5 linked regions of the Ovis aries genome follow. The protein of the gene in region 5 binds, or shares a complex with, the protein of the main gene of each other region. Links are inferred from orthologs where the notes say so. Each region holds a gene or a part of one and is shown on either strand. Other genes may lie near its edges.

The links.
Region 1: the proteins of YWHAG (region 5) and NEDD4L are in contact, whole or in part, in a crystal structure (PDB 6ZC9), measured with the Homo sapiens proteins. The link is inferred for Ovis aries from reciprocal best matches to the Homo sapiens genes YWHAG and NEDD4L. Residues at the interface, in NP_036611.2 of Homo sapiens: Lys50, Arg57, Arg61, Lys125, Arg132, Tyr133, Gly174, Leu177, Asn178, Val181, Tyr184, Glu185, Leu225, Asn229, Leu232, Trp233; in NP_001138439.1 of Homo sapiens: Pro444, Arg445, Ser446, Leu447, Ser448, Ser449, Pro450.
Region 2: the proteins of YWHAG (region 5) and NLRP5 are in contact, whole or in part, in a cryo-EM structure (PDB 8XI3), measured with the Mus musculus proteins. The link is inferred for Ovis aries from reciprocal best matches to the Homo sapiens genes YWHAG and NLRP5. Residues at the interface, in NP_061359.2 of Mus musculus: Phe201, Tyr216, Thr220, Met223, Gln224, Arg227, Asp228, Thr231, Ser235; in NP_035990.1 of Mus musculus: Ser1030, Cys1031, Ser1055, Gln1058, Cys1059, Pro1060, Val1061, Glu1084, Phe1087, Val1088, Lys1089.
Region 3: the proteins of YWHAG (region 5) and HDAC4 are in contact, whole or in part, in a crystal structure (PDB 3UZD), measured with the Homo sapiens proteins. The link is inferred for Ovis aries from reciprocal best matches to the Homo sapiens genes YWHAG and HDAC4. Residues at the interface, in NP_036611.2 of Homo sapiens: Asn43, Leu44, Ser46, Val47, Lys50, Asn51, Arg57, Phe122, Lys125, Arg132, Tyr133, Gly174, Leu177, Asn178, Val181, Glu185, Leu221, Ile222, Leu225, Asn229, Trp233; in NP_001365345.1 of Homo sapiens: Ser348, Pro349, Ser350, Leu351, Pro352, Asn353, Ile354, Leu356.
Region 4: the proteins of YWHAG (region 5) and TLE6 are in contact, whole or in part, in a cryo-EM structure (PDB 8XI3), measured with the Mus musculus proteins. The link is inferred for Ovis aries from reciprocal best matches to the Homo sapiens genes YWHAG and TLE6. Residues at the interface, in NP_061359.2 of Mus musculus: Lys50, Arg57, Arg61, Lys125, Asp129, Arg132, Tyr133, Gly174, Leu177, Asn178, Val181, Glu185, Phe201, Asp202, Ile205, Ala206, Leu208, Asp209, Glu213, Tyr216, Lys217, Thr220, Leu221, Ile222, Met223, Gln224, Leu225, Arg227, Asp228, Asn229; in NP_444484.1 of Mus musculus: Phe137, Leu138, Ser139, Glu140, Ser141, Asp142, Leu144, Gln145, Leu295, Arg347, Asn430, Leu447, Gln470, Met472, Asn489, Asp510, Asn511, Thr512, Met530, Pro553, Arg555.

Annotation. Positions count from the first base shown.
Region 1 is NC_056076.1:57,723,615-57,729,305, reverse strand, and holds the start of NEDD4L (E3 ubiquitin-protein ligase NEDD4-like), read right to left. Parts: upstream 3,667-5,691; 5' UTR 3,542-3,666; coding exon 2,462-3,541; intron 1-2,461. UniProt on the Homo sapiens protein: E3 ubiquitin-protein ligase that mediates the polyubiquitination of lysine and cysteine residues on target proteins and is thereby implicated in the regulation of various signaling pathways including autophagy, innate immunity or DNA repair.
Region 2 is NC_056067.1:64,169,196-64,174,444, reverse strand, and holds part of NLRP5 (NACHT, LRR and PYD domains-containing protein 5), read right to left. Parts: coding exon 3,759-5,249; intron 2,040-3,758; coding exon 1,872-2,039; intron 705-1,871; coding exon 537-704; intron 1-536. UniProt on the Homo sapiens protein: Component of the subcortical maternal complex (SCMC), a multiprotein complex that plays a key role in early embryonic development.
Region 3 is NC_056054.1:2,402,943-2,408,191, forward strand, and holds part of HDAC4 (histone deacetylase 4), read left to right. Parts: intron 1-1,713; coding exon 1,714-1,798; intron 1,799-2,727; coding exon 2,728-2,869; intron 2,870-3,291; coding exon 3,292-3,334; 3' UTR 3,335-5,249. UniProt on the Homo sapiens protein: Responsible for the deacetylation of lysine residues on the N-terminal part of the core histones (H2A, H2B, H3 and H4).
Region 4 is NC_056058.1:18,577,543-18,583,377, forward strand, and holds the start of TLE6 (transducin-like enhancer protein 6), read right to left. Parts: upstream 3,907-5,835; 5' UTR 3,365-3,906; intron 3,276-3,364; 5' UTR 3,193-3,275; coding exon 3,190-3,192; intron 2,952-3,189; exon of another isoform or gene 2,824-2,951; intron 2,678-2,823; coding exon 2,604-2,677; intron 2,209-2,603; coding exon 2,163-2,208; intron 1,333-2,162; exon of another isoform or gene 1,159-1,332; intron 473-1,158; coding exon 431-472; intron 1-430. UniProt on the Homo sapiens protein: Component of the subcortical maternal complex (SCMC), a multiprotein complex that plays a key role in early embryonic development.
Region 5 is NC_056077.1:34,831,476-34,837,197, forward strand, and holds the start of YWHAG (14-3-3 protein gamma), read right to left. Parts: upstream 3,870-5,722; 5' UTR 3,681-3,869; coding exon 3,594-3,680; intron 1-3,593. UniProt on the Homo sapiens protein: Adapter protein implicated in the regulation of a large spectrum of both general and specialized signaling pathways. Binds to a large number of partners, usually by recognition of a phosphoserine or phosphothreonine motif.

The sequences.
Region 1 (5,691 bases), on a different chromosome or scaffold from region 5:
CTGGAATCTGATTAGCATTTTTTTTTACAGTCATGTTGCATTTTAAGTTTATTCATGAGAGTCATGACAGGATGTCTGGGAGGCACAGAGCAAAGTTCTCAACAAAACAGCCTTGTAATAAGGGCTAAGGCACGGATCGTGACATCTGAGCACATTCGCAAAAGGAATCTTGAAAGGTTTTCCCCATCAAGATTTTTGACATCATTCAAAAGACCTGACTGTAATCGATTTTTCATGTAAACTAATAATGAAATGCCCTTCTGTCCAAAGCAGCAGATATTTGAAACGTCAAAAGAGCTTGGTGGCGGCCAGACTGTAGACGCCCAAGTGAATGTTTTCCCTCAAGATAAATAAGGCCGAGGCAGCTGCTGCCTACACTTAACACCCCTGCCCATTTGAAACACGTACAAAGTGTTGAATGGAGCCGACAGTTTTGTTATGAGACAAGTTTTGTTTCTGCTTCTCGAAGAAGCAAGTTTTCACTTAAAAGAAAAAGCCAGCTTCCTACCAACCCTTCACAAATTTATAGAAGTGTACAAAAATACAGATTCAAAAATAAAAACTACTACGCTTTAGAGGGAACTTACTTTCCACAAAAAGCTCTTTATTCTAGAACTTACATTTCCAAATGTGAAGAAATTTTATTTTCCACTCTAACAGCCCTTGAAAGTTAGAATGGCCCTTACATGTAAATTACACACAGTGTTTGGTATGTTCCACTTGTTTTTTTAATCCTGGGAGAAACGTCAAGCCAAATGAGACTGTAATTATAAAAATCCATTTGTTCTCAACACCTAACTGCAAAATGATTTCAAAGTCTGATAAGTTGTCAAAACTTAGGATACGCATGTTGTCAATATTCATGTGGTAGGTGGTCCAAATTCAGCACAAAAATATGCTGCCCAAAGAAGTCTATACCTGTTGTGATGGTACTTTCTTGGGCTGAAGGTTAGAGGCTATTATCAGAATTTTGTTGAAATCTGTACCACTGTATAAAAACGGTATTGGTTCAGACCAAAAATATAGCATTTCCTAATGAAAAGACTAGAGATAATAAAAGAAAAGGGTGTATAAAAGGGAAAAGAAGAAGAAACAGTTACATTAACAGTTATAAAGTTATATTAACAAGAAAAATATACTGACATTTAGCACCTGATTATATGCCTTCAAAATGGTGAAAGACAACGATGGATCAGTGATAAAACTTACTCATATGGCAAAAAGTATTTCTCGACACAAAATAATAAAAGATGATACGGTTCCACAGCCAAACTCAGTCATCCACTTTGAAAAGTCGCAATTCACAACTGAAACCAAACACAGAGTCTCCTAGACATTTCACTGCCGTATCCTGAAATCCAGCCATCAGAGGAAATTCAAGGAAAACAACCCCAATTCAGAATACAAGGAGCCTGTCCTCTGAAAAAAAAATGAAGCACGTGGCTAGTGATTAGTAGTGAAAGAAAGCTAACTGATGAAACTTCGCATCCCATGACAAACTGTGAAAGCTGCAGTCATCATTTGCCTGGTGGAGTTAGCAGCTGTCTGTCTGTACTCCATTTCACTGAAAGGGAGAGAGCAAGAACACAGGAGCAATGAAGGCCAAAATCTGTTGCTGGGCTTCTGTTTCCACAGCTGGAGGCTGGGCACTTAACTATTCTATATACAGCAGCACAGCTTAGACACTCAAGTGGGCAGTGTTAAATTGCAGGGGTGTGCAACCTGACCATTAACAAGTCCCCCATCAGTTTCCCCTGGCCTTGGCCCTACAGGCCAATCTGCTTCAAAACACATTTCCTCCCAGCCCACAACTGTGGTTACCTCTGTTCACTCTTACTTAGTGGGACCAAAAGAAAAAAAAAAAAAAACAACCAACCCACAAAGACAATACATTATACAACCAGGGCCAGCCCTGTACAGCTAAAAGGTCATTAGGAAGAATGTGTCCAACCTGACATATGCTTAATTATGAAGAAACCAGACACGTTTAACCTGCGATTCTCTCACCTGGATTAGAACGGATTATTTTTTAAATGCCAGCGTTGTCACAGCCTGTATCTGCAAGCAGTTTTTTAACACATTTCCAATGTCAACATGCTGGGGCACGGCACATTAACTCAAAAAGTAACGACATCTTAAAAATTCTTTTTTTGAGAAGGGAGGGAAACGAGGGGGAAAGGGTTGTCCAGATTTTTCAAAACAGAGTTATGTGACTTTGAAGACCTAAGGCTACGATATTTTCTAAAATCGGCTAACTAGTTTCATGGACTTCTACCAAAGGCGGGACCACAAATCGTGGACCCAGAACCGGCCAAACACACTCAGTTACTCTGGCCCGAAGCAGGGAAAGTCCCAGAAGGGAGGAGGATGTTGTTTATTTTAATTCTGCTGCAGAATACGCCTGCTGGGCTAGAATCGGCCCCTTCCTCCTGCGGACACACGGCATCACAGGCTCACTTACCGGGGCGCCAGCTCCCGTGGAAGCCGGGCCGGCCGCGGCGGCGTCCTCCTCGGGACTCTGGGGGGCTTCCTCGGGCCCCCGAGTCACGAGGATTCTGAAGTGCTGCTGCCCCGCGTTTTGATCCTGCCTGATCTTAAACGTGCAGCCCTGGCCTTGTGGCGACCTCTCGGCCGCCGCATCGGTCCTGTGGGCATCGGGAGCCACCCTGCGGCCCCGCGGCGGCGCCTCCGGGTCTGGGTGGCCGTGCTCCTCCGGAGGACTCCCGCGCTCGGCCCGGGGCTGCGTGGGGTACGAGCTGCTCCTCTCCAGCCGGATTCGGGGATACCTCACCAACCTGTCCCCCTTGGTGCCGGTGAAGCCAAAGTTGAAGTCGCCGCCCGGTGCGGGCCCGCAGCCACCGGCTGGCGGCTGCTGCAGCTGGAAGACAAAACAGCGCTTCCCGGAGCTTCCAGAAGCGTCTGGAACGTGCTGCAGGGACCAGCGCCTGGGCTCGGGTGCTGCCGCCGCGGGGCCAGCCTGGCCCTCAGCCCCCGAGGGCGTCAGCTTCACCGGGCGCACATCGGCGCTGGACGCGCGGTGTTGGATGCGCACGGCTGGCGGCTCGGCCTCCTCGCGGCCGTCAGGGCCCGGCGCTCGGCGGCGGCCGCACGTGCCATTGAGCTGCGGGCCCGGAGCTCCGGGCCCCGCGGGAGGGGAGCCATCGCCGCTGCCGTCGTCGAGGCTCTTGGCCTCGGGGGGCTCCCCCAGCGGCTCCGTGCCCGCGTCGCCGTCGTCGGGGGCGCCGTCAGCCGCCTTGCGCTGCAGCGAGATCTGCACGGACGAGCTCCGCGTGGGCCGCGCGTCCACGGGGCCCAGCAGCTGCGGAATGAACATGGACGTGCTGCGCTTGAGCGCGCCCACGCCTCCCCGCAGGCCCGCGTCCTGCGCTCCGCTCGGGGCCAGCGCAACCGCGCCGCCCCGCCGCGGGAGCGTGTGGAATGCCATGAAAAAGTCGTCTTCTCCCTCCTGGTCTAGGATCTCCGACTCGGGGGCTGTGTTGCTGCGGCAGGAGCCAAAATGAAACCGAAGCCGATGGGCCATGGTGCCCAGAGGGCCAGGGAGGGACAGGGCGAGCAGCAACAACAGGCCCGGCGCTGCCAGCAGTCAAACCCCAAAGACACGAACTCCAAGGAAAAGCGTTCCATCTGCCAAAGCGTGAGCACTGCGGCACCAAGGGCGGCAGATAGCAGAAATAACCCAAGTGGCAAGCGGCATTCCAGGCATGATTGGATAAGAGCAGAAAGCTCTCATCCGCACTGTGACAGAGGGTAGGGTGGCCGGAACCACATGACCGCGGTCTCCCTCTCCAATGCCAGCTTCTGGACTTAGTGGAGTTTTCTTCCCCTTCTCGCTCTCATTTTTTTTTAAACAGCAAGAGCCTGAAACAGCACCTTCCCAGCTGCTGCTTTTCCATCAGACAGGAGTGGCCCCAGCGGGGAGCTCTCACAGCTGACTAAGGCAGCAAACACAGTCCGAGCTGTGCGGCTATAAATCTCAGCGCAGCGCGCTCACCGGACAGTTCTTTCCAAACCGAGCTGGGCACCCGGGCGCTGTCTCACCGATGCGGAGCAACTGGCACCCACGGCAGAAGCACACAGAGGAGCCCCCCTTCCCATCGAACCCGACAGTGACAAGTGACACTGCAGGGGCTGCAGGAAAAGCCTCTCAGGAGCAATCGGATGTTACGCGCCCCGCTTACATATGATATCACCACACTACCACGATGGAATGCAAACTAATAAAACGTACTATAAATACGATTACACACCCCACAGAATGCGTGTCCCTTTAACGCTAAATAATTAGACCATGATCTACAAGTAACAAAATAGCTGAGTGGAGGGAGGGGGGCGAACAACTTACTGCCAGTTGGGGTCTGCCTCTGGCTACCACGACATGTGTTTTATTTGAAAGATGGGGAGGGCGGGGGACGCAATCTCACACATAATATGATTCTCAGATACGGCAGTGCCAGAGGAAAGAAACCCAGCTGGAGAAAACATTCCCCCCTGTATGCCAGATAGGAGAAAAACCAACATCCCCCCACTCAAAAAAAAAAAAAAAGGGAAAGACAGTTGGAGAAGCGTGTTGCTTGCGGCTTTTGTAATAAATGAACTTAAATACCATGCAGAAAAAAAGGCTGCCTGGAGCTGACTCTTTTCCAGTAAGAAGTCAGCAGGATCTCCCCAGTTGGGTTACAGACAGAGAATCTTGTTGCTTTTGAAGAGCCAGAAAGGACCTAAGTAATAAAAGTGAAAGTCCATGTTCAAAAAACTGTCATCGGACTTGTAGCTAATTTGGATATATTCTGTGTGCTTTAAACATACTCTTTTCTGTGAGCCAGAAACATCAGTTATTTTAAAAAAGAGGTTTATTTAGGAGGGAATAAAAAAAAATGATGGGGGGCAAAGGGGGAATACCAAGCTGCAAAGAGTGACAAAAAGTTTATTTTAAAATCTGCAAAGCATGATTCTGTCAACAGCTCTGGAGTCCAGGGTGTGGAGGATTAACCCTGCGTTTACATGCACTCAAACCTGTCTTCTAAAGGCATGGGTTTTAAATGCCAAAAATGATCTCTACGAGAGAAATGGAAGCCAGTTTGTTTAATGCGAAAACTGCCAAGCACCACTACAGTCACGTATTGTCTTAGCTGGATTAATACCCAACAAAGAAAAAAACCACCAGCAGCAGCATTCACTGCATAGTAACAACACTGCCGATGGCCTGGGGCAAAGCTCGGTATATAAAACACAAATTTTCAGATAAAATCTGCATTCACGTGGGATTTCTTAGAGCTTGGCATTCATTCAAAGCCCTTTTGGGCTGGAAACTCTAGTTTAGGGCTCATGGCAAGGCCATCTCCACAGTCATTCTTTTAGATACTGGAAACGAAAAACAAAAATTTTTACAGTGCATTTCCTTTAATAGAAGAAAAATAGTGAGTTAAAACCCACCTGCCAGGAGGCAAGTTTTCCACAGTGTTGACCCTCTCTTCACCTTCAAGTGCTATTATACTCAATAAATGAGAAAGGAAGAATTGGTCCGTGGCTGCATGTATATCTCCGGGGACTCACTGTTACTCACTGAACCTTTGCCGAATTCAGTGTTTTCTGGATAAGAGATGGAGTGCCAAGAACTGTACTCTCAAGCAGAATTTCTCATTGGATTTAACAAGAAAATAACTTCATACA
Region 2 (5,249 bases), on a different chromosome or scaffold from region 5:
TGTGGGGTGTGAGGTGTGGGGGTGTGCGCTCGTGCGTGGCTCAGTCAGTCCGACTCTGCCCCAAACCCCGCGCCTGTCCAGGCTACCCCGGAGCCCTGAGCAGAGTCCCGCGGGCCGTGCGCGCGCTGGGTTTTGGGGGGCGGCTCGCGGGGTCTGGTTCCCCGGCCAGGACGGAACCCGGGCGCCCCGCATCGCGAGCGCAGTCTCGGCTGCGGCGCCCCCAGGGACCCCCCCGGAAGTTGCATTTCACCCTGAAGCGCACGTGACCTGTGAAGCGCACGTGACCCGTGAAGCGCACGTGACTGCGCCCTTCGTGAAGCGCACGCGACACGCGAAGCGCAGGCGACCGCGCGCTTCCTCGGGTCGGGTTTGGCGGCGCTCATCATACACCCGCGGTCGAGCACTCGTCCCGGCGCCAGACTCCCAGAGCTTGGTAAGACCTCAGCAGCTTTCTGCGAAAGCTTGTTTCCAAGTGGAAAGCAAAGCAGTAACGCCCGGAAACCCGAGCGGCAGAAAGCGGGCAGCGCGGGACTCGCCTGAGAGTCTGCAGCGCGCAGTGCGGGTGCCTGAGGGCCGCGCCCGCCGCCCGCACGTCCTCCTCGCCCAGGCGGGAGCCCGCCAGGTCCAGGCGCGTGACGTTCCGGTTGACAAGCAGAGTCATCCAGAGGTGGCGGAGACCAGGGGTGACCCGGGCGCCGGTGAATCTGCAGACGAGAAAAGGGGGCTCGAGTTAGGACGAAGGGACAGGTTCCGTCGCGTCCTCGTCTTTCCTTCTCTGTTCCCGTTTTGACTCTGATCTTTCATTATTTGCGTTTACAGTTGCTCCTCACACAACACGGGTTTAAACTATATGAGTTCTTGTGTATGTGGGGCTTTTCTCAAGAAATAGAAAAACACGCATGAACACCATCGTATGCAAAACTGGTGTTGACGTGGGCCGCCTGTCCCTACACAGGAAGAAGGTGAGTGGCATTCAGTGTAAAACCAACGATGTGTTTGTTTTCTTACTATTTTAGAACTTTGCTTGGAAGAATTACATTGCTGTACAGAATGCTTTTCTCTCTTATAACCAGAGAAACAGTCTGTCAGCCAATCATTAAAGGTATGTGTTTTTTTTTTAGAATACAGCAATGTTTCCAATATTGTGTTATGATTGTGACCGTAATATGGACGCCATGAGAAGTGTGTAATGACTCATTCATCAGGGCCACGGTGTTGTTCTTGCAGCTTAGTTGCAAAGTCATGTCTGACTCTTTTCGACTCTATGTACTGTAGCCCCCCGGGCTCCTCTGTCCATGGGATTCTCCAGGCAAGAATACTGGAGTGGGTTGCCATTTCCTTCTCCAGGGGATCTTTCCTACCCAGGAATCCATAAAGCAACGTTATTGATGCTTCTTCATTATCAATGTGTACATCATTATATGTGTAAATACAGTAATGATTTTTTTACATTGTATTTTCATTTTTGATGTCCAGTGTTACATGTATGTATAGACACATACGTAGGTTAAACGTATAACATCTAAAGTGTTTTCTATCACAGCATTGATGGAGGTACTGACACATGATTCATCAGACAGACAATGTAAACTTATGGTGTCAATGAATACAGTACTGAAATGAACCTTCCTCACTACCTCCCCTGCTAACCAACTCCTATTCATCCTTCAAAACCCTGAGTAAATGAACCCACCTTAGTAATCCCTTCACAAGATCCTTAGTCATTCCCCACCTGTACTTTTGGGAACTTGGTTCCTGCACCTTCCACAGCCCTTATTCCCTGCAAATACGTTCTAAAGATCAGTAGGTAGGAGAGGAGAACTGTGACACAGCCACACACAGAGGGAGGTACGGGGTCTGGGAAGCCTCACATCAGATTCTGTATTTTACAGGCTGGCTGCCGCAGCTTGACACAGAGGGTCTTCATGGCCTCCTTGCTCAAGACGCTGCCACTCAGGTCGAGCTCTCGTAGGTTTGGGTGCGTGCCGAGCACGGAGCAGAGGTCTTCCCAGTGCTCATCAAGGGTCTTGATCTTCAGCCTATTGCGGAGAAGGAAACAAACATTTGTTCACACAGGATGGATTCGACATGAGCAACTGCGCGATCCATGCCTGAGGAGAGCAGTCAGGCTGTTAGGATGGGGAGGGTCTCAGAGGCTCTGAGTGGATCTGATCTCATGGTCTGGAGAAGTAGTGTCATAACCAAACTGCCTCCAGAACACTTCTGTACCCACAGGGCATACCGCCAGCTCTAAGTAAGATCTGTGCTTGAATTCTAGCTGCCTCTTGAACGTCAAAGTGTAGCCGCTATGGAAAACGGTATGGAACGTCCCTCCCCCAAAATTGAAAATAGAACTACCATTTGTTGTTGTCCAGTCGCCAAGTCATGTCCGACTGTGACTCCATGGATTGGAGCACGCCAGCCTTCCCTGTCCTGCGCTGTTTCCCAGAGTTTGCCCAAGTTTGTGTCCACTGAATCGGTGATGCCATCCAGCCATCTCATCCTCTCCCGTATGATCCGGAAACCCCACTTTTGTGGGTGTGTCCAAGAGAATTGGAATCAGGGTCCCAGAGAAGCATTTGTACATTATTCACCACAGTCAAGATGCAGAAACAACCTAAGTGTCCATCAGTGGGTAAAGAAACTGGCATGTGTGCCCCAGCGTCCGCTGCAGCGCTGTTTACAACAGGCAGGACGTGGGAGCAGCCTAGATGTCCACCGGTAGCGGCGTGGATAAAGCAGCTGTGGCACATACTCACTCAGTGGGCTGTGACTCAGCCATGAGAAGGAATGAGGCTGAGTCAGTTCTAATGACGTAGATGAACCTAGAGCCTGTTATATACAGAGTGAAGTCAGAAAGATGAAAATAAATATTGCCTATTGACACATTATATGGGATCCAGAAAGGTGGTACTTATGCATTTACTTGGAGGGCAGGGGTGGAGACACAGACCTAGAGAGCCGACCTGTGGACACAGCGGGGGACGGAGAGGCTGGGATCAGCTGAGAGTAGCCTTGGAACATGTACGTTATCATGTGTAAAACAGATGGCGGATGGGAATTTGCCACATGACACCGGGAGCTCGGCTTGGTGCTCTGTGGTGACCTAGAGTGGGGGTCTAGGGGTGGGGGGAGGTTCAAGGGCGGGGGGACACGTGTATACCTGTGGCTGATCTGTGTGGATGTGTGGCAGAAACAACACTATGAAGCAGTTATCCTCCCACTAAACATAAACACTTAAAAAGAGAAAATGTGGTGTACACACACACAGCGGAACATGATTCAGGCCTGAAAAAGAGGGAGGCACTGCCATCGGCCACAGCAGCGGTGAGCCAGAGGACAGTGTGCCAAGCGAGATGAGCCAGTCACGGAGCAACGGGCCCGGTCTCACGTAGATTCTAAAGCAGCCAAGTTCACGGAAGCCGAGCGTGGAGCGGTGCTTGCCTGGGCCTTGGCGTGGGGAACTGGGAGATGTGGGCCAAAGGGTACAAAGTTGCAGTTATCAGGATGAGCGCATTCTGGAGCTCTAATGTGCTAACACGATGCAGACCCAGGGGGATAGTCTTTAGGTGTTTTCACACACAAAGAAAATGGTAACTATATGAGGCATGGGTGTGCTGACTAGCTTGATGGTGATTATTTCAGGTACATCAAAACACCAAATCATACACCTTACATGCGTGCAATTTTGCTCAGTTATACCTCTCTTGTGTTGGAAAGAAACACAAGAATGGGAATGGCAGAGGTGGGGCACTCACCCTTGGGGAGCCCCGGGCCATGCCTCAGCAGACTCATCCTTTGGCGTCTCTCTGACATCCAGTCGAACTTTCCGTAAATGCTGGCAATGACGGAGACAGAAGGAGGACACCGTTAAGTCCATCGGCCGGTTCAACTGCAGCCACACTTCTTGGAAGCCATTCAAGGCCAAGCGAACAAACTCGTCGTCCTGTGTCTCGAAAAGGCAGTAGAAGGCCTCGAGCAAGTCTGAGGAGGCGGCGGGGGCGGCAGGGTGCTGACCCAGCAGGCAGATCCAGTGCAGAAGGCACTGCTTAGCCACGGGGGCGACGGGACAGCCTAGGAGGGTTTCCAGGGCCCGCGTCGCCTCCTTGCTCACAAGGCCAAACAGGAACCTCTTCATCTGGACCAGGTGGACGTTGAGGTCAACGTGCCTGAGCTCCATCAGGCTCTTTGTGCTCTGGGGAAACAGTGGGTAGCCCTCCCCGTCTCCCTCGACGCCTCGCAGGACGTAGAACAAGGCAGCAAAGAACTCCTGGAGGCTGAGGTGGGAGAACGCGTGGCCCCTTCCGCAGCGGCTGTCAGGGAGAAGGATGCTCGCCTGCTGCAGGGCGGAGAGCTCGGGCCCCTTCAGCCCGTGGACGCCCAGGTCGTCGCCGTCAAACACGAACTTCGCGTTCCACACGCCGTCCACGGCCAGCCGGCACAAGCCCTTCAGGGCACTGCGTTCCTCCCTGCTCAGCGCGCGCCGGCCTGCATCTTTGGGAGCCAGCCGCTGGAACACGAAGGCGGCGTACAAGCCCGTGAGGGTGTGGCCGGGGACAGGAAGGCCTTTCTCGGGCTCCCCGTGCAGCTCGAGGGCCTCACGGACAAGGGCACACACCACGGGCACCTGACACTTGTCAAGCACCTCCTGGTGGTCTGTGCCTGCGTGCCAGGCGCGTGTCTCCTGACGACCGTGCTTCCCGCCGCCGAGGAGCAACTGCACCCTGTTTTCCACCGAGAGGCCCCCTACCCAGAGGTAACGGGGAGACCGGAGCAGGGCTTGGAGCCTCTGCACGCCCGCGTCCTGGACGGTGAGGAGGAGGGCGCACTCGGGGAGCAGGACTTTCTTCAGCAGGCTGTGTGCCAGGACTGCCACGGGCTGCCTCTCCACCCAGTTGGCTGAGAGGCTGGAATCCTGGTCTCCGAGGGTGAGCTCCAGCTCCTCGAGTCCATCCACCATGATCAAGAGCCTTTTGGACTGGGACAGGACCTTCTCCACCGGGACTGGGGCGTCCGGCCACTCCCTGGAGATGAGCTCCGCGAAGCTGGTCTCCCTGGACCCCTGGAGGTCTCTGGCGCGGAGAAGGAAGACGTAGGAGAACAAGCCCTGGTAGAGGTCGCCTTGTGCCCAGAACAGCAGGAGCCTCCGGGCCAGCATGGACTTCCCGACCCCCGGGGGTCCGTGCAGAACCACCGTGAGAGGCCGGAAGCCCCCCGAGGGGTCTGGGTTAAATGCCCCCGATAGCACG
Region 3 (5,249 bases), on a different chromosome or scaffold from region 5:
TGCCTTGGCAGGAGGATTCTTCACCACTGAGCCACCAAGGAATCCCACAGTCTAGAAGCAACAACTGAAGGAATGGGGCTGAGCACAGCCCAGAGACAAGGCGTAGAAGGGGGCTTGTGTGTCTGTTCAGCGACCCCACCAGAGTGCGGGGTGGATGGCTGAAAGTGCCAGCGGCCCAGGATATTCCGTGACTGATGGAGGCACCATTCTCAGCCCTGGAAGGCAAGGGGGCCCAACCCAGAGAGTTTAAAAAAAAGCTTGCATCCAAGCTCATCTGAGTGACTGCAGGACCACGAAGACAAACAGGAAACTGTGAAAGTAGCCGGAGAGAGCAGACAGGCAACCCACAAGGAGCAGTGTGAGCCAGACACCAACCGCTTCACAGTGAAGGAAGCAGAAGACAGCGGGGCAAGGTCTTCCGTGTCGAGAGGAAGAGCCCACCAGCCCAGAGCCGCAGGCCCAGCGGGACTGTGGCCGCGGGGCTGGGGTGGGTGGGAAGAGAGAAATAACCTGGGAAAGCTTGACCCGTGAGACCTTCTCCAAAGGAAACTGTAGGAGCTTCAGGCAGGACGACAGCCCGGGCAGCTGTCTGTTGAGCAAGACGGAGGTGTCAGTGCAGGAAAGCCCGAATCAACAGGAACTCCAGGAGACAGTAACAACGATGCCACGTCAGTGAAAGTCAAGAAGGAGGCAGAGTGAGGGCCGCGAGCCCTCAGTCAGGGGCGACAGGGAATTCGGCCGGGCCCTGGAGCGGGGGCTGCCTGTACTGCAAATAAACATGGGGAACGCTGGCTGCAGTGCACTTGTGAGGAGCAAGTACTTTGTGATCGGTTTAGCCCGCGTGCTGGGCGGCTCTGTGGCAGACACCCGGCGTGCCCTGTGGCCGTCAGGCAGGTGGGCCGTGTGCGCCTCCCCACTCCACCTGCGGCAGGGACTTCAGGGAGAGCTCGGAGCAGAGATGCTCACACCCTCTGTCTACCTTTTCTCTGATCATTGGAAGAAAACCCTGAAGGGCAGATGTGCTTGTCGCTCAGTTGTGTCTGACTCTTTGTGACGCCCTGGACCATAACCCGCCAGGCCTCTCTGTCCATGGGATTTCCCAGGCAAGAATACTGGACTGGGTTGCCATTTCCTCCTTCAAGGGATCTTCCTGACCCAGGGATCAAACCCACATCTGCTGCTTGGCAGGCGGATTCTTTACCGCTGAGCCACCAGGGAGGCCCAAAGTGGGGATATTCAAGCCCTGTCTATAAAACCCTTGTTGACAAGTGTGATGAAACTGATGTTTCCGAAAAGTCATCATCCCTTCCCCTGACGCTGTGCCGTGCATCCAGCGGTGGAGCCCATGCTGCCACCCCTCTGCGCCAGCTGCCTCTGGACACCAGCTAGTGTCCTGCCCACACGGGCACCCACGAACGTACCCGAGAGCCTCCTAGGGGAAACACCTTAAGGAAAATAAGTTTACTTCTGTGAAAACATTTATGTAATGCCACAACCACCTCTGGCTTTTTCAAGCTGTCTTCTCTGTTAGCACGTGCACGTGAGGAAGACACTGATCTGGACGTCCCATCTGAACACGCACGGGGATTCTATGATCCGGACGTCCCATCTGAACACGCACGGGGATTCTATGATCCAGACGTCCCATCCAAACATGCACAGGGACTCTACTGATGGCCTCGAACTCACCGTGTATTCTTCTTTCATCCCCAGCTCGATCCTCTCCCAGAAAAGGTCTTACAGCAGAGACCCAACGCCAACGCCGTGCGGTCGATGGAGAAGGTCATTGAAATCCACAGTAAGTTGCCTGGCCCAGGGCTCAGCAAGGAGACCCCCCCCAAGGGAGGGGCCCGACTCCACAGCCCTTCTCCCACCCCCCATACCGCCCCCACCCCCTGCTTCTCTCTCACTGCCAGCAGCGTCCCCAGGCCCGCCTGTTGAGACCTGGCTTTCAGGGCGAATGTGATGAGCTGGTGACTCTCCTCTCACCCCGCTTGACGTCCCAACAACCTGCCACAGCCAAGTCACCAGCTCTGCTTTGTGGGGCAGAAGCGCTGTGGTTCAGGGGGTGTGTGAGGTCCCTTCTCCAGGCTCCCCACTGACAGGCTGGGACCCGCATGGAAGCCTGTGTCCTCGGGTCTGGCCTCTGCCCTTGGACCAGCAAACCCCACTCCATCAGTTCAGGGTACCCTTGGCCCAAAGACCAGCCCTGCCCCTCGAGCGATGGGGCCCAGGAGCCCAGGGGCTGCACACGGACTTCTGCCCCGCCTTTATCCTGGGTCTGCGGGGTGGCCCAGTCGCCAGTGTCCGTGTCCATGGGCGGGACCCAGGGTCTCCTGCTGTGCACTGAGCTCCTGGCCTCCTGAATGAGGAGCCCTGAGGCCCAGGAGACACCGGGAGGCTGCCTGCTCCCACCCCCATCATCTCGGGACTCCAGCAGGGAGTCAGGGAGTGCTCGTCCCAGCCGCCCCACCCTGAGGGAGGGACCCTCCCTGGAGCCCACCCCCACCCAGGTGTCCTGCCCCTGAAGGGCCCAGTTCTCCTGGTCACGGGGAAGCTTTTCCAGACTGCCACCCTCTGTGAGTTTCTAACCAGGCCACCTCGTGGCTTCTGTCTCTGGAGAGCGTGGTGCTTTGGAGTCACCAGCGATGGGTGCTGCTGGAGCCCCGTGGGCCCAAGCACAGGGATGGGGTCCCGTATCTGAGCAGTCACCCGCCCCTTCCGCAGGCCAGTACTGGCGCTCCCTGCAGAGGCTCGCCTCCACCGCTGGCTACTCCCTGGTCGAGGCCCAGAAGTGTGAGAACGAGGAAGCCGAGACTGTCACTGCCATGGCCTCGCTGTCTGTGGCCGTGAAGGCCCCTGAGAAGAGGTGAGCACGGACACTGGCCGGCGGTGGGTGCTGCCGCCATCTGCGGGTGACCCGGGTCTTTGCTCCCGGGTGTATTGGGGGCACGTGCTAGCTCAGCAGGGCGGGGAGTGGGTGAGCTCAGCAGGGCCTCACCCTCGCCCCAGGGCAGACTGCACCACACCTCTTCCCAGAAGCAAGAGCCTGAGAAAGACTTGAAGGGCGTCTGGGCCAGAAGGAACACTTCCCTAGGGGAAGAGTGGGGGTCGCTGAGAGTTGAGGGGGCGGGGGTGGCTAGGAGTCGGGGCGGGGTAGCTAGGAGATGGGGGTGGAGGTGGCTCGGGGTTGGGGGCGGGGATGCCTCGGAGTTGGGGGGCAGAGATAGCTAGGAACCTTGCACATCCACCCTCTCCTCTGTTGCCACCCCGCCCGCCCGCCCGCCCCAGCAGACCCGACGAGGAGCCCATGGAAGAGGAGCCGCCTCTGTAGCCGCTCCCGCAGCTGCGGGTCTCTTGTTTGTCTGTCTCCGTCTTGAAGCTCCGCCGAGAAAAGTTGCTGCCGCCCTGCGTCCTGCCGGCCTCCTCCGAGCCCGCGGGCGCGGCGGGGCGAGCCGCAGCCGGCGGCCCTCTGCCTGCCGGACCCGGGCAGACGTCGGGACGCGCCGACACACGGACGTGCGGGAGCGGGCGCTCCGGGCCCCGCAGGGCAGCCGCGGAGGGAGGGAGCCCGCGGGGGCTCGGGGCAGAGCCGCCTGCCGAGCGAGCCGACCCGAGGAAAAGAAAATGAAAATCAAAGATCTCACGACACAAAACAAACTTGATTAAAACTGGTGCTTACGGTTTGGTGATTCCCCACAATCCCACAGTCTCCGTGTAAACCACTCAACTCATTCTGTAGCTTATTTCTTTTCAGAGAAGAGTCAGCCGCTCCGGCGCTGGCCTGCCCCTGCGCACCGCGGGTGCGCGGTGGGGCTGGGACACGGAGCGGGCGAGCGTTTAAGGAAAAAAAAAAAACTGGACAAAAGCAGAAATGTGAGCCCGTGCGGCTTTGGTTTCTCAAAGCCGACGGAAGATGCGCGTTTGTGCCTTTTTTTTTTATTGCTCTGATGGATTTTTGTGGCTGGGTTTTCCGAAGTCCGAGGAACAATGCCTTAAGAAAAATAAACAGCAGGAGTCGGTGGGACCGCTCCCTGTGGCCGGTGGGGCCGGAGGCCGGCTCGCACTGGCCTGGCGCTTCACAAGTGGTCCCCGCCTCGGCCAGCAGCTCTGGAGGGCTGAGGTCCTGCCACCCTGTTTCGCTTTATTGCTGTTGAAGAAAAATGGAGGTAGTTCCAAAATAGTGGCAAATACTGTTGGGGGTTTCGAAGTCCAACAAATTTTAAATGAATCCAAAGTGTTCTTTTTCTCGTACATCATATAACAATTGAGCATCTCCATTTGGTTGTGAAGCATGTCCTAGGCACACTTTCAGTGTTACGATCGGAATGCTTTTTATTAAAAGCAAGTAGCATGAAGTATTGCTTAAAATTTTAGGTATAAATAAATATATATATGTATAATATATATTCCAATGTATTCCAAGCTAAGAAACTTGATTCTTATGAAATCTTGATAAAATATTTATAATGCATTTATAGAAAAAGTATATATATATAAAATAAATGCAGATTGTAAAGGTCCCTGGCGAATGAACGGCTTGTGACTCAGCTCTCAAGGTGCTTGTGGAAAGGGATCTAGTTTGAAGCTCATGTTATTTCTGAACTCCAGATTGGAGAGCTTTCAATCACAGGTTCGCCATGGGACACCTGCCCTGCAAGATTGTACCTTCATCTTAATTATTTTCTGACCTGACCCCTCCCCACTCCAAGCCTCCATGCACATGTGTACCTGATAAGTTTTTATAGCAAAGGATATCAATTTGCTGTTGATTTTGTATGAATTTTTTCACAAAAAGATCCGGAATAAGCATTGTTTTGTGAATTTTACATTTTTTCTCACCATTTAGCAGTTTTCTGAATGGTAATAACGTCAACCTTTTTCCTTTCTAAACTTTTGCTTGTACATTTTTTTAACTTTGGAAGGTATTTTTTTTATTATTATTATTATTATTTTCATTTTGTTTATTTTTGTACAGTGAGCACAGAGTTTATTTTCAGAGTGAGCGCGGAGCGTGCAGCGGGGTCTGAGGTCTGCCCACCTGGGCCTGCCTGTGGCTGCACACAGAGCGTGGAGCCTTCCTTTGCCGCCCGTGCTTTCTGGGCAGGGGGCACCCTCGCAGCGCTGAGCTGAGGGGCTTGCCAGCCACCATGGGCCATCAGTATCCATGAAACTCACGTGTAGACGTCTCTGACCACGTGGTCAGGATAGCATTTTTCACTTGGCTTTTCCAAAGAGCTTGTAAACTT
Region 4 (5,835 bases), on a different chromosome or scaffold from region 5:
TGCCAATGTGAGCCAGGCCGTTGAGAACCTCAGATACATGGAGATTGCATTCGGCCGTACCTGGCACATAACAGCCCCTTCCTAGCAGAAGTAACTGACCTGCGAAGTGCTGACAGGCCCCTGGCCTTCTCCAGCCCCATGGGGATTGGGAGCAGGCCCAGAAGGAGAGGCACAGGACTGGAGATGCACTCCTGAGATGTGGGGCTACCTCATATCCTGGGGTTCCACTTAAGGCCTCACCCCCTCTATCTGCAGCCCTCCCACCTCCCGGGGGGCAGGAGGAAGCCCAAGTCTTCCCCTGCAGCCTGCTAGGGCCTGCACCACCTGCCATGTCCCTCTCTGGCCTCCCCTCTTCCCTCTCTCCCCCTTTCTCCTGCCATGCAAGGAGGGCAGCCCTCCCTCGCCACCCAAGCTCCCGTCACTCATTCACCTGTTTGAGATGCTCCTGGATCCCCTGCTGGATTTTCAGGACCTGCAAAGAACACCAGCAATCATATGAGGAGGCAGTCGACGGACACGAGCAAGAGTGCAAGACTTAATGCTGTGCGGCCCTCTCCCCAGCTGTGTGACCCTCTCCCCAGCTGTGTGACCCTGGACAAGTTGTGAAACCTCTCTGGTCTCTGCTCTCATCAAATGGGATACGGCCAAGCATACTCAGAGTGGGAGGTAATTAGGGAGACCCCTGGCTGTTATGCTTTCAAACTGTGGTTCTGAAGAAGACTCTTGAGAGTCCCTTGGACTGCAAGGAGATCAAACCAATCAACACCAAAGGAAATCAACCCTGAATATTCGTTGGAAGGACTGATGCTGAAACGGAAGCTACAATACTTTAGCCACCTGATGCGACGAGCCAACTCATTGGAAAAGACTTTGATACCAGGAAAGATCGAGGGCAGGAGGAGAAGTGGGCAACAGAGGATGAGATGGTTGGATGGCATCACCACTTAGTGGACATGAGTTTGAGCAAGCTCCAGAGATAGTGGAAAACAAGGGAAGCCTGGCATGCTGCAGTCCATGGTGTCGCAAAGAGTCGGACACGACTGAGCGACTGAACAACAACTGACTGTCATTCTAGATGTGAAGAGAAGGCCAAAGGGGGCTGTGACCTGCCCTGCCCCCTCCCTGCCCTCTCCGCCTCCCTCTTTCCCCCTCACTCACTGCTCTAGCCACATGGGCCTCCTCACTGTTTCTCCAACACCAGGCACAGTCCTTCCCCAGGGCCTCTGCACATGCTATGCTTGCTGCCTGAAACAACCTTCCCTGTTCTCTCTAGGGTGACAGAAACTCCTTATCTTTGATGTCTCGCTGAGCACGTCACTTCCTCCAAGAAGCCCTTCCTGACTACCTGGGCTCAAAACAGTGACTCATTTCACCCCTTCTATTTTCTTTTAAGCACTTACATTTTCGTGAAATCTTGCTTCTCTAGTTACATATTGTCTCCCTCCTCCCCCTAGAGCTGCTTTGTCCAATGAGGATACCACCAGTCAAATAAGACTCTTTAACTTTAAATCAATAAAAATTCAGTTCCTTATAGGAGCACAGTAGCCACGTGGGGCAGGTGGGTGCCATACTAGACCCTGTTGATAGAGAACATTCCTAACATCATGGAAAGTTCCAGAAGACAGCACACACTGGAACATAAACTGCTGAACTGACCAACTGTGGCCTGAAGAAACATCTCCTTAATTTAAATATGGAATTGCTTGTTTTCACAGCAAGGTTTTTATTAATTAAGAAAAACTCACATGGGCTTCCCTTGTGGTTCAGTGGTGGTTCAGTGCAGGAGACATGGGTTCAGTTCCTGGCCAGGGAAGATCCCACATGCCTCAGAGCATCTGAGCCCAGGTGCCACAGCTCTGAGCCTGAAAGCCACAACTACCGAGTCCTGTGCTCTGCAAAGAGTAGCCCCCACTGGCCACAACTAAAGAAAGCCTGAGAGCAGCAACAAAGACCCAGCATAGCCAAAAATAAAAAATAAAAGTGTCTATGACTGAATTCCATTTAAAAGAAGAAAAACACACGAAGATGGGGCTCAGTGGGTTCTTTGCATTGCCTAAAGCAAGCAAAGTAGAGGCGGTGTCCCCTAACCCGGATTATGAGACTAAACACAACAGCCTTTCCAGGTGGCTCCAGACGGGCTGACAGGTGGGGGCGGGGCTCACCAAGCCGTAAGCGAGGTCCACCTGCGTCGTCAAGTGAGTGGGGAACCTGGTGGGGAAGACAGACCTGCTGGAAGTTGAGGCCTCAAGACCCTTCCCCAGAATGAACCCTGCCCTCAGTCCCCCAGCAGGGCAGTTCCATTAAGGGAGCTAGTCCCTTCCACGTGCCACACTGAAGGCAGTGTCAAGACGAACGAATAATGCAGTATTTTATAAAATATAATTGAATGTGAGCAAATTCACACTGAACCATACACAGTCAAAAACTGAAATGAAAGCCAGGATTGGTATTACTGGCTTTCCTTTCCTTCTGCTTCACCCTCCAACATGGTCGCTGCCCACACTGGTCCTGCATTTTGGGCCATGGAGACAAAGTTTGGGTTCTTTCCCCCTATGAGACTTCAGGCCACAGTGGTGCCTCTAGCCCCCGGGGATTGTCCTCACCTGGGGAAATGCTGCTTGAGCTGATCCAGGATGTCCTGATAGTTCCGGGCTGGAAGGTTGGCCTCAGGATGTGCCTGGAGAAGTCAAAGTGGGGGATGAATGAAACCCACAGACTGCCAGCATACTTGCTGTCAGGTCATCAGCCTCAGAGAGGGCAGGGTGGGACCTCCTGAGACCTGAAGGTCATTTGCTCTCTCTCTGTTATTACTTAAGTACCCACACAGTATCTTCCATCTTGATTCTTGGCATAAAGTTGAAAATATTTACTTTCCGGCCTGTTATGGAAGCTTGCCGGCCCCTGGCCTAAACTGTTAGAAGTGGTTTTCTCTGGGAAGTAATGGGGTCAGGGGCAGGAAAGGGGAAGGGACTTGTAAAATATTAACTGAATAGATGATGTAGCCAGGTGTTTATCACCTGGGTGATAAAATGTTTAATTTTAAAACGAAAGTGCCTTAAAGTATGATGGCTTAGTATCCCCAGCTTAAAGGCCTGGCCAGCCAGCCCATGTCTCTCCCTTAGGAGCAGGAGAGAGAGATTTGAGCCCAGCTGCTGCCTCCTCGCCCCTCCCCTAGGGGTAATGCCTCACCATGTTTTGAGGGTGCCCGTGGGGGCTGAGATGACCCCAAGAGGTCACTCTTCAGGCTGCAGTAACAAGGACTTTAGCCAGGGACTCTAAAATTAACAAGGAGATGACAGATCCTGAGCGCAGAAGGCTGATCAGGAACAGAGACACAACCAGCCCCACCCCACCCTTGGCCCACCTTGATCTTCCCTCTAGGACTGAGTCCTGGGCCTCCAATCTCCTAACTGCCAGCACCCGACTGCATTCTCTACATCCGATGTTCATTCATTCACCTCTCTCTGGGGCTTCCAGATGTGCTGATTCCTGGTGGGGAGCCCCCTAGGACTTCACTCTACGAGGTGGGGCGCAGGGTATGGTGCCAAACATATACACTTCCTTCTAGGAGCAGCCAGGGCTGGAGGAACCCCAGAGAAAGATATCAAAGCTCAAATTTAGTTTTGAGACAATTTCCTAAAGCACCGGAGAACATCATTTGGAAAGGGGTTTTGAAGGATGAATAAGAGTTGGCTAGGTGAATTAGAAATTTCTCAGAAGAAAGAGACCTAATCAGTTCTGCGGCACTAAACTCCTTTACTTCTGCCCCTCAGCACCCTTCCCGCCTCCTCCCCAGCCCAGGGACTTTGGGGTCTGCCAAGAGATCTAAAGGCCTATCCACCTCTCTTAGGATGGTGGCCCAGAAGGAAGCCGCCAGGGTCAGCCAAGTTCAGGCGGACAGGAAGCACCCCCCCCTCCCCGGAGGCCAATTGACCCATCGGGCCCGGCCCCGCCCCGCCCCGCCCCGCCCCGCCCCCGCCCCTGCCCGCCCCGGCCCCGCCCCGCCGCCACCTGCACCACGAAGCCGGTCAATGAACTAGCAGCAGCTGCACGTGGGATCGGGCTCCGCAGGCGGCCGCCGGCGGCGCTGACCAATCGTAAGGGCGCTTACCCACGTGGGCCTCAACTCCCGCCTCTGATTGGTCGGCTCTCCTCAGCCGCCGGAAGGACTGTCAATCAGCGGGCCCGGCGCCTGCGCTTAACCCTTGCGGTCCCGAGGTGGGGAAGGGCAGCGTGCAGAGTTGTAAGCAATTTGGGGTCCCGGCAGGGATGAGAATATTTAGTTAAGGCAAGGGGCTTGGGGTCACAAGGTGCAGCTTGAGGAGAGACTGGGAGGTGTGTATTCTTGTTTTGTGAGAAGCCACGTCAATTTTTCGTCCTGCCCTGGAGCGGCTCCTGGCTGAGGGCGAGGCGGGGAAGGGAAGCACTCTCACTCGATCCTTAGATACGGGCTAAACACCTTCTCCTCAGTATTAAATAACGTGTAATGCAAACGAAGCTTCGGTCCCCTTTCTTGGGGAAAATTCAAAGGCTCCCTTTTATCCAGCCTCCTAGGAGGCAAGCCTGGGGCTGTGCATTTTATCAACGAAATTTCCCAGCAGCCCTCCAAGCCCGGGGACTGAGGCTCTGAGAAATCTGAGAACCAAAGGCAGGAACTGCGAAGGCCTTGGAACTGGTACACTTTTCCAGGTTCAAGGCCAAGGAGGGAAGCTTAATTCTACTCTAGGTTTGAGGGTGACCTCAGAGATAAGGGTGGGATGTGTGTGGAGAGGTTCAGGAGTCCTGTTTTTGGTGTGAAATGGCCTGCTTGAGATGGGAAGTGGCCAGTGCAGAGTGTGGGAGTGAGAGGTAAAGTTTGTACCCTCCCCAGAACCTTCGCCCTGGCTGTTCCCTCCTGGGCTGTTCCCCCCGCTGGATACTTCACCTTCAACTCTAGCTCAGAGGTCACCAGTTCAGGAAGGCATCCATCCCCCGGACACAGTTCTTATTTTTCTCCAAATCTGGTTTATATTGAAGCTAATCTTGTAATCTCCGTAGCCCTAAACCCTGCTGTGTTCAAAACTCACACAATGCTGATTCTCCCATGTGTTTGCACCTGGCCACAGGCACTGGGGTGGGGAAGGGGGCGTCCTGGGGAGTGGTGGTGAAGGGGCGCGGGGGTAGGCAGGCTTGGGATTCACACAAACCAGAGAAATCTCCTTCCCCACCAAAGTCCGAGTTTTGTCGTGGAGAGCGGGTAGACGTGGGAGGGAAACGGGTGACTGAGGGTTCTGATCCTAGGACGTGTAGCCCCCAGCGGTTAAGATGTAAACACACAAATTGGGTTCTGTGGCTTGTTTGTGGAGGACAAAGTGAGAGCTGCCATGTATAAGCCTCAAATACAGGTTTTTGCCCACCATCCCTCCACTGGCCCATAATTGAAGTGTATTTTATTTATGGTCCAGCCTGCTAATTGCCTCCCTCTGCGTGCTCCACTCCTCTCCGTGGTTGTAGAGGGTCAGCCGGACACACCAGTTTATTATCCGGGGCTGTCTTGTCTCCCACGATATCCACTGGTTACCTGCGGTTATTTAAATGAAAATGAATTAAAACAAGATAAAATTTCAAACTCGGTTCCTCTGGGGTCACAGGCTGAATCAATGTCAACCGCTCAGTAGCCGCACCTGGCTGGGGACGACTGGCCTCTCTGCAGATCTATAACATTCCCATCGTCTTAGAAAGTTCCACTTTTTAGTGCAGGTCTGAGATTCTCTTTAATTTTGATTTTGTATTGGAGTATAGAAAATCTCCAGTATTGGGGCTTGCCAGGTGGCACTAGTGCTTAGGAACCTGCCT
Region 5 (5,722 bases):
GAGAGTACTTCATTACTGACACATTCCTGAATCAGTAATCATGTGCTGAAATCCAGCCAGCTATGGCCAACCATGGTCACTTTTTAAAAATATCATTTTTCCCTTTTCTAGAGTGCTACTGAATAGTACACTTGAAAAGGGTTAGTTTATGCCCTGTGACTGTTACCTCAACAAAAAAGACTCAAATCATTTTCTCCACTCTTTTTGGTAATTTAACTAGAGTTTGGTTTAATAAATAAATAAGGCTTCCTCCAAGTACCAGAAGATGAAATCCTCCCAGGGTCTGCAGTTAATCTAATGAACTGTAATGAAGATGCACATTGAGCAACATCTTTTATCTCGATTAAAAAAAAACCCATATGAAATTGTTTAAATAATTAGAAGAGGCACTTAGCAGTCATTTAAGTTATCGGGAAGGTGAACACAAAAAGCCAACTGTTATCTGTATTCTTCCACTCCAAAGAGAACAATTGAAGCCACATGACTTCGATTATAATAATGGCTGGCAGAACTCCACAAAGAGGCTACAGAGGTGTCATTACTCCATTAGTGATAATGGCTATTGATCTAGCCTCCTGGAAGAGCTAGCAGAAAAAAACAGAATATTTAACATAGTTAAAAAAAATTTTTTTTAAGTATATAGATTCTGCTAGGAAGGCATTTTTACATAATTAGGATAGACTTTTGCCACTAATGCCCCTCTGCCGCCAACACACCATAAAATGTTTATCCCAGTAACTTCAACATTAGTTGCCTAGAACCTTTTCTCCCCAGCCCCTCCCAAGGCAAATACAAGTAGCTCAAGAGGCTGTTAAAATCCAAAGGACAAGTCAGTATTGTCTAACAAGTAGGAAATATCTAGGTGATCGCTTCTTTTTAGATACAAGCCTACACGTGTCTGAAAAGACTAAACTTCCTTCTTTCCTCTTTTTCAAAATACGTATTATTTCTATCTTGGTTGCACACCTATAACTATCACAGGTCCCGTTTATTACTAGGGTACCTTCACTAGATAGGAATAAATTTCACCACTCTAGCATCTGGATGAGTTCAACCTTAGAACTCACTTTAGTGGTAGGACTGAGTATTTTCTATCTTCCTGTATTTTCCAAATTCTGTGGTGACTTATATAAACAAAGAAACAAGGCTTAGTTACCTTTTTAAAGCATCTACATTTTTTATTTAATCCTCACAACTGTTTCAAGTAGGTGTTGACCCATTTTACAGATGAGAAAAGGAAGGTCAGACGTAAGACCAATTCCTCAAAATCACAGTGAACAGATTTGCTTGGAAAAATGTCTGCTTTATTTTATAAAACTGTTTTCCTTCCTCCATACTCCATTAAGGAGCATAAGCATAGCAAGAGAAGCTTTCCAAATCTCAAGCTGGTGTCTGTAGCAGATTCTCATTCCCTAACGTTTACTGAAAATGTCCCAGTAGGAAGTCATAATCTTTTTTAAGGTTTCTATTAAAACTTGCCAAGTTAATAATCTGCAATAAACCCACATATACCCCTACACTATGAGTATAAAACATATTCTTGTTTTAAAATTTTCCATCTCTAGTCCTTCAATGCCCAAGGTTATTATTGAGATGAATGTTTAAAAACATGACTGTATCTTATAAACTTTCAAGAAAATTGGAAATAGGAAAGGTGAACAGGCATATCCAGAGATCCCTGGTGTGCCTGTGTCAGGATAAAGGACATTCTTCTTTGGGGGACCAATTCTCCTCTGGCGGAAGAGGAAGTGCTCAATTCCACCTGGCTTATCTGCTAATTTCTGCATTACCCTGGACAAATGCCATTTGCATACTCCCTACCAGCCCTGAGGTGCATTGCAGCCTCTGTGTCATTGTGTGTGACATCACTGGGTTGCTATGGATATAGGTGCGAGGTCACTCGCTTTCCTGTGAAACTAGAAATATGGAAAAATTAGAAGAGTCTAAATAACGCGATAAATGATATTGATATCCACTGAAGTGCAACTTATCATTTGCACCTTATAAAGACAGCGACTGTGACAGTATATTAATACAGCAGTACTCCCAATTTCAGAACCAATCCTCTTCCTTAATGAGATAATCTTCTCTGCTAATGTAGCTGGTTTAAATGTAAAGGCATCAGCCTTGTCATCTCCTGTGAACCAGTAGAGTTATTCGAGAATTAATTAATCTGTAATGCCTATACCGCCTCATTAAAGAGGTTTCATGTGCAAGGTACACTCCTGTATCCGCTGCACACTGGAGATGCATTTTAAAACCTTTGTTACATAAGGCAGGAAGTTAGATATTAAAATAGTGAGACTGAAATCATTAGATATATATGTTTCATTTAGTAATGCTCAATATGTCCCCCTCTAATATCAAACCGGTTGACCGCCCATCAGATAAATGTAGCATTACTGACAAAGTGGTGCAATACAGGCAGGAATCTGCAAAATGCGACAACTGGAGATCAGTATTCTCTTTTCATCAGCATTGAAGATGCGCTAGCTTTTTTTTTTTTAAGCTTCAGATGTGTCTAACAAAACAAATTAAAACAAAAAAAAAAGACTTTTTCCCCTTTAAAATAACTCCTCCCCAGCCTCCACCCAGTCTAGGCTCTCTGCAATATGACAAATGCAGAATCTTCTGGAATGACTTGATACTGCCTCCCACCACCGCTTTGTTTGCAATATCAGATCAGAGAGAATATTTTTTTCAACTTAAAGGAATTTCAACAGATGTGTGCCTGTATTTAAAAAAGAAACAGCATATGTCACAAATTGAACCAGTCGGCTAAATTCACAACCTTTATTTTAGAGACAATACCTACCCTTTCAGTACGAGCACAGTAAGAAAAAAAATGGAGATGACATATTGAGAACAATCAATGAAAACGCTAGCGAGACAAACGTGCCCCCCTTCCTAAAGGCAAGAAGAGGGCTTGCTTTGGGGAATGGAGAGAGGGGAGCCTTTTGTTAAGAAAAACGTGAGCATGGAGGTTTCGATTTTGCACCATTGAGTCCAGATTTTCAGGAGACCCTTCATTTTTTCTCGAGGAGGTTCTAAAGGATCTGTCTGCAGAAGGTAGTGGGAACATTTGGGGAGTGGGGTGGGTGGGCGGGGGGGGGGGGGTATTAGAAAACCCGGAGACCTGCTGAGTGAATGGGAAAGGCGCCGCCCAGACATCAGGGAGAAAAGAGGAACCGCATCCATGCGGTCCCCCGCCCCCACACGCCCAGGCTGTGGGAGGAGGGGGAAGTGGGGCACAAAGGATGCGCACGGCCCCCCGCTCAGGTCCCCAAGCCGACCCGAAGGCGCGGCGGCCAGAGACCCCGCTCCCGAGACCGGCCCCGAAAAGACCCCGCCCCAGCCTGGGCGCGCGGGGAGGGCCGAGGCGGCCGGGCCGCCGGCCCTAGGGGACGCTCGGGGAGAGGCCGCGTCACACACCTGGTCCTCAGCGTTGTCGGGACCCTCCCCGGCCCCCTCAGGGGCATCCAGACCTGCAGTCGCCGACGGGCGACTAGTCCCCGGGCAGAGCCCGCGAAGGCCCGCGGCCGCGAAGGGGCTGGGGCGAGGCGGAGGGGGAGGGGAGGGGAGGGGAAACTCACGTTCTTCATGGCAGCGGCCATGTCGTCGTAGCGCTCCGCCTGCTCCGCCAGCCGGGCTTTCTGCACCAGTTGCTCGCGGTCCACCATCTTCACGGGCTGGGTCGGGCCGGACGAGGATGATCCGGGACGGCCTGGAGGGCTCGGAGGGCGGCTGCGACGCGGCTGGAGCCCGTGTGCTGGAGGGACCGACCCACACGAGACGTGAGCGGCTCGAGGCGACGGGCGCGGAGGCTGCGACTCGAGCTGCGACCGCGGGACCGGGCGCGAGGCGGCTGCGGCGGCTGTGCGTGCGGCGGGCGGACAACCCCCTGCGGCCCCGCCCACGCCGCGTGACGCAGACGGCCCCGCCCACCAGCCCGCGCAAGGCCCCCGCCCCGGCCCCGCCCCGGCCCCTTCCGCTTCTCGGGTTTCCGCTCCCCGGCTCAGCTCGCTACCGCCTCCCGGGTATCCCCTTCTTCCCCGGTGCCCCTCGACAAGCCCCGTGCTTCACTTCATCCGGCTCGCTGCGCCCTAGCTTCTCCAGACGGTCCCCCACCCACCCTGGACCTGCAGACCCCAACCCTGCCAGGCCCCCGACTCGTGGGCCCCTGGGAGTTGTAGTTCTCCCTGGGATGGGGTAATATGTTGGGGAGATCAAGGACAAAGGGGCGGTCAAGACTACATCTCCCAGTGGTCATAGCGGGACAGATGAAGGAGGATTGAGGAGGTGGTGTGGGGCGGGTTGGGGAGGTCTAATTCCGCGGCTACTGGGGACCCCTGGCGGGGACTAAGGCTGCCCGAGTCCGAGCGAGTGCTGATTCACGGCCCCGCCCCATATTCTCCGGGAAATTACTGGGGGAGGGGGGCCAGGACCTCAGCCCTAGACCTTGTTTCCGAGATAAAACAGCAGGCCCCCGGGAGACTGGGAAGATGGGACGCATTCACTACTGATCCAAACTGTCTGGGTGGTACTCACCTCAGAGATGGTTGAATTAAAAGAGCCAAACCTTGGGGGGACTGCCACCCTCCCCCACAAGGTTCCGTCTCTCCTTCCCCGCCTCGAGGTTCTTGGACCTGACAGGTGGAAATGTGGAAAGACAAATACTGGCCAGGCATTCTGGTTAATACACGGAAAGGATGCAGCTGTTTGCAGCCTGACCCCTGGGGAGCCCTTTCTTCCTCTCCAGGGTGGAGCGTTACCAGAGCCAATGGATGCTTACCACTGAGTTCTGTCTGGGGGTTGACCAACACTTCTCTCCCCGCGTAGGATATACACGATGGGGTCAGGCTGACTAATTCTTGCTTACATGCTTCCCTTTTTTGACATTCCATGTAGCTCACATACCCCAAAGTTTTGAGTGCACATTTTATTTATTTGGTACTTATCTACTGAGCACCTGCTATGTTCCAAGCACTGTTCTAAGCAATGCGGTACACCAGTGATCAACAACACAAAATTCTGCCCAAGAAAATAGGCTAAATAATGTGTAGAGTACGTTAGAAAATTATAACTAGTTAAAAAAAATTAATGGGCACGAAGTGTTGTGTATGAGAACTGAGAAAGAGGGAATTTCTGTGAAGGAATAGTCCAGGCTCTATGCTGAGCACTGGAGGAAGATAGCATGGAACCCTGCCCTCAAAGAATTCAGAATGTGTTAAGCACTGTTGTTTTGTTTTTTAATTCTTTCATGCTAGATAGAAAAAGGTTTTTTCTGTTGTTGTTTGGTGGGTTGTTTTTTTTTTTTTTGGCCTGCTCCTAGGCAGCTTCCCAACCATGGATTGAACCCAGGCCCTGCACAGCAAGAGAACAGTCCTAACCATTGGACCCCCCAAGGAATTCCCAGGAAGAGGTTCTGAAGAGCTGGAAATATTTCCAACCCACTCCCTTAAAGATGTATAGGATTTAAAATAAATTAATTAATTAACGTGAAATGAAAAGCAAAAGAAAAAAAAAACTTTTTAAGAAAAGGAAAAGATCTGTAGAATTTGAAAGCAGGCAGAAGGGACAAGCAGGGGACTCAGAGGCAGATTCCTCCCTGACATATGTATTGTTAGACAGAGAATCCAGTGTGTTTGGTGCCTGAAGAGATGGGTAGTAGGGACTGGGGATGGAATTTGGGGAGTTCCAGAACTTGGGGAGCCCTGAATGG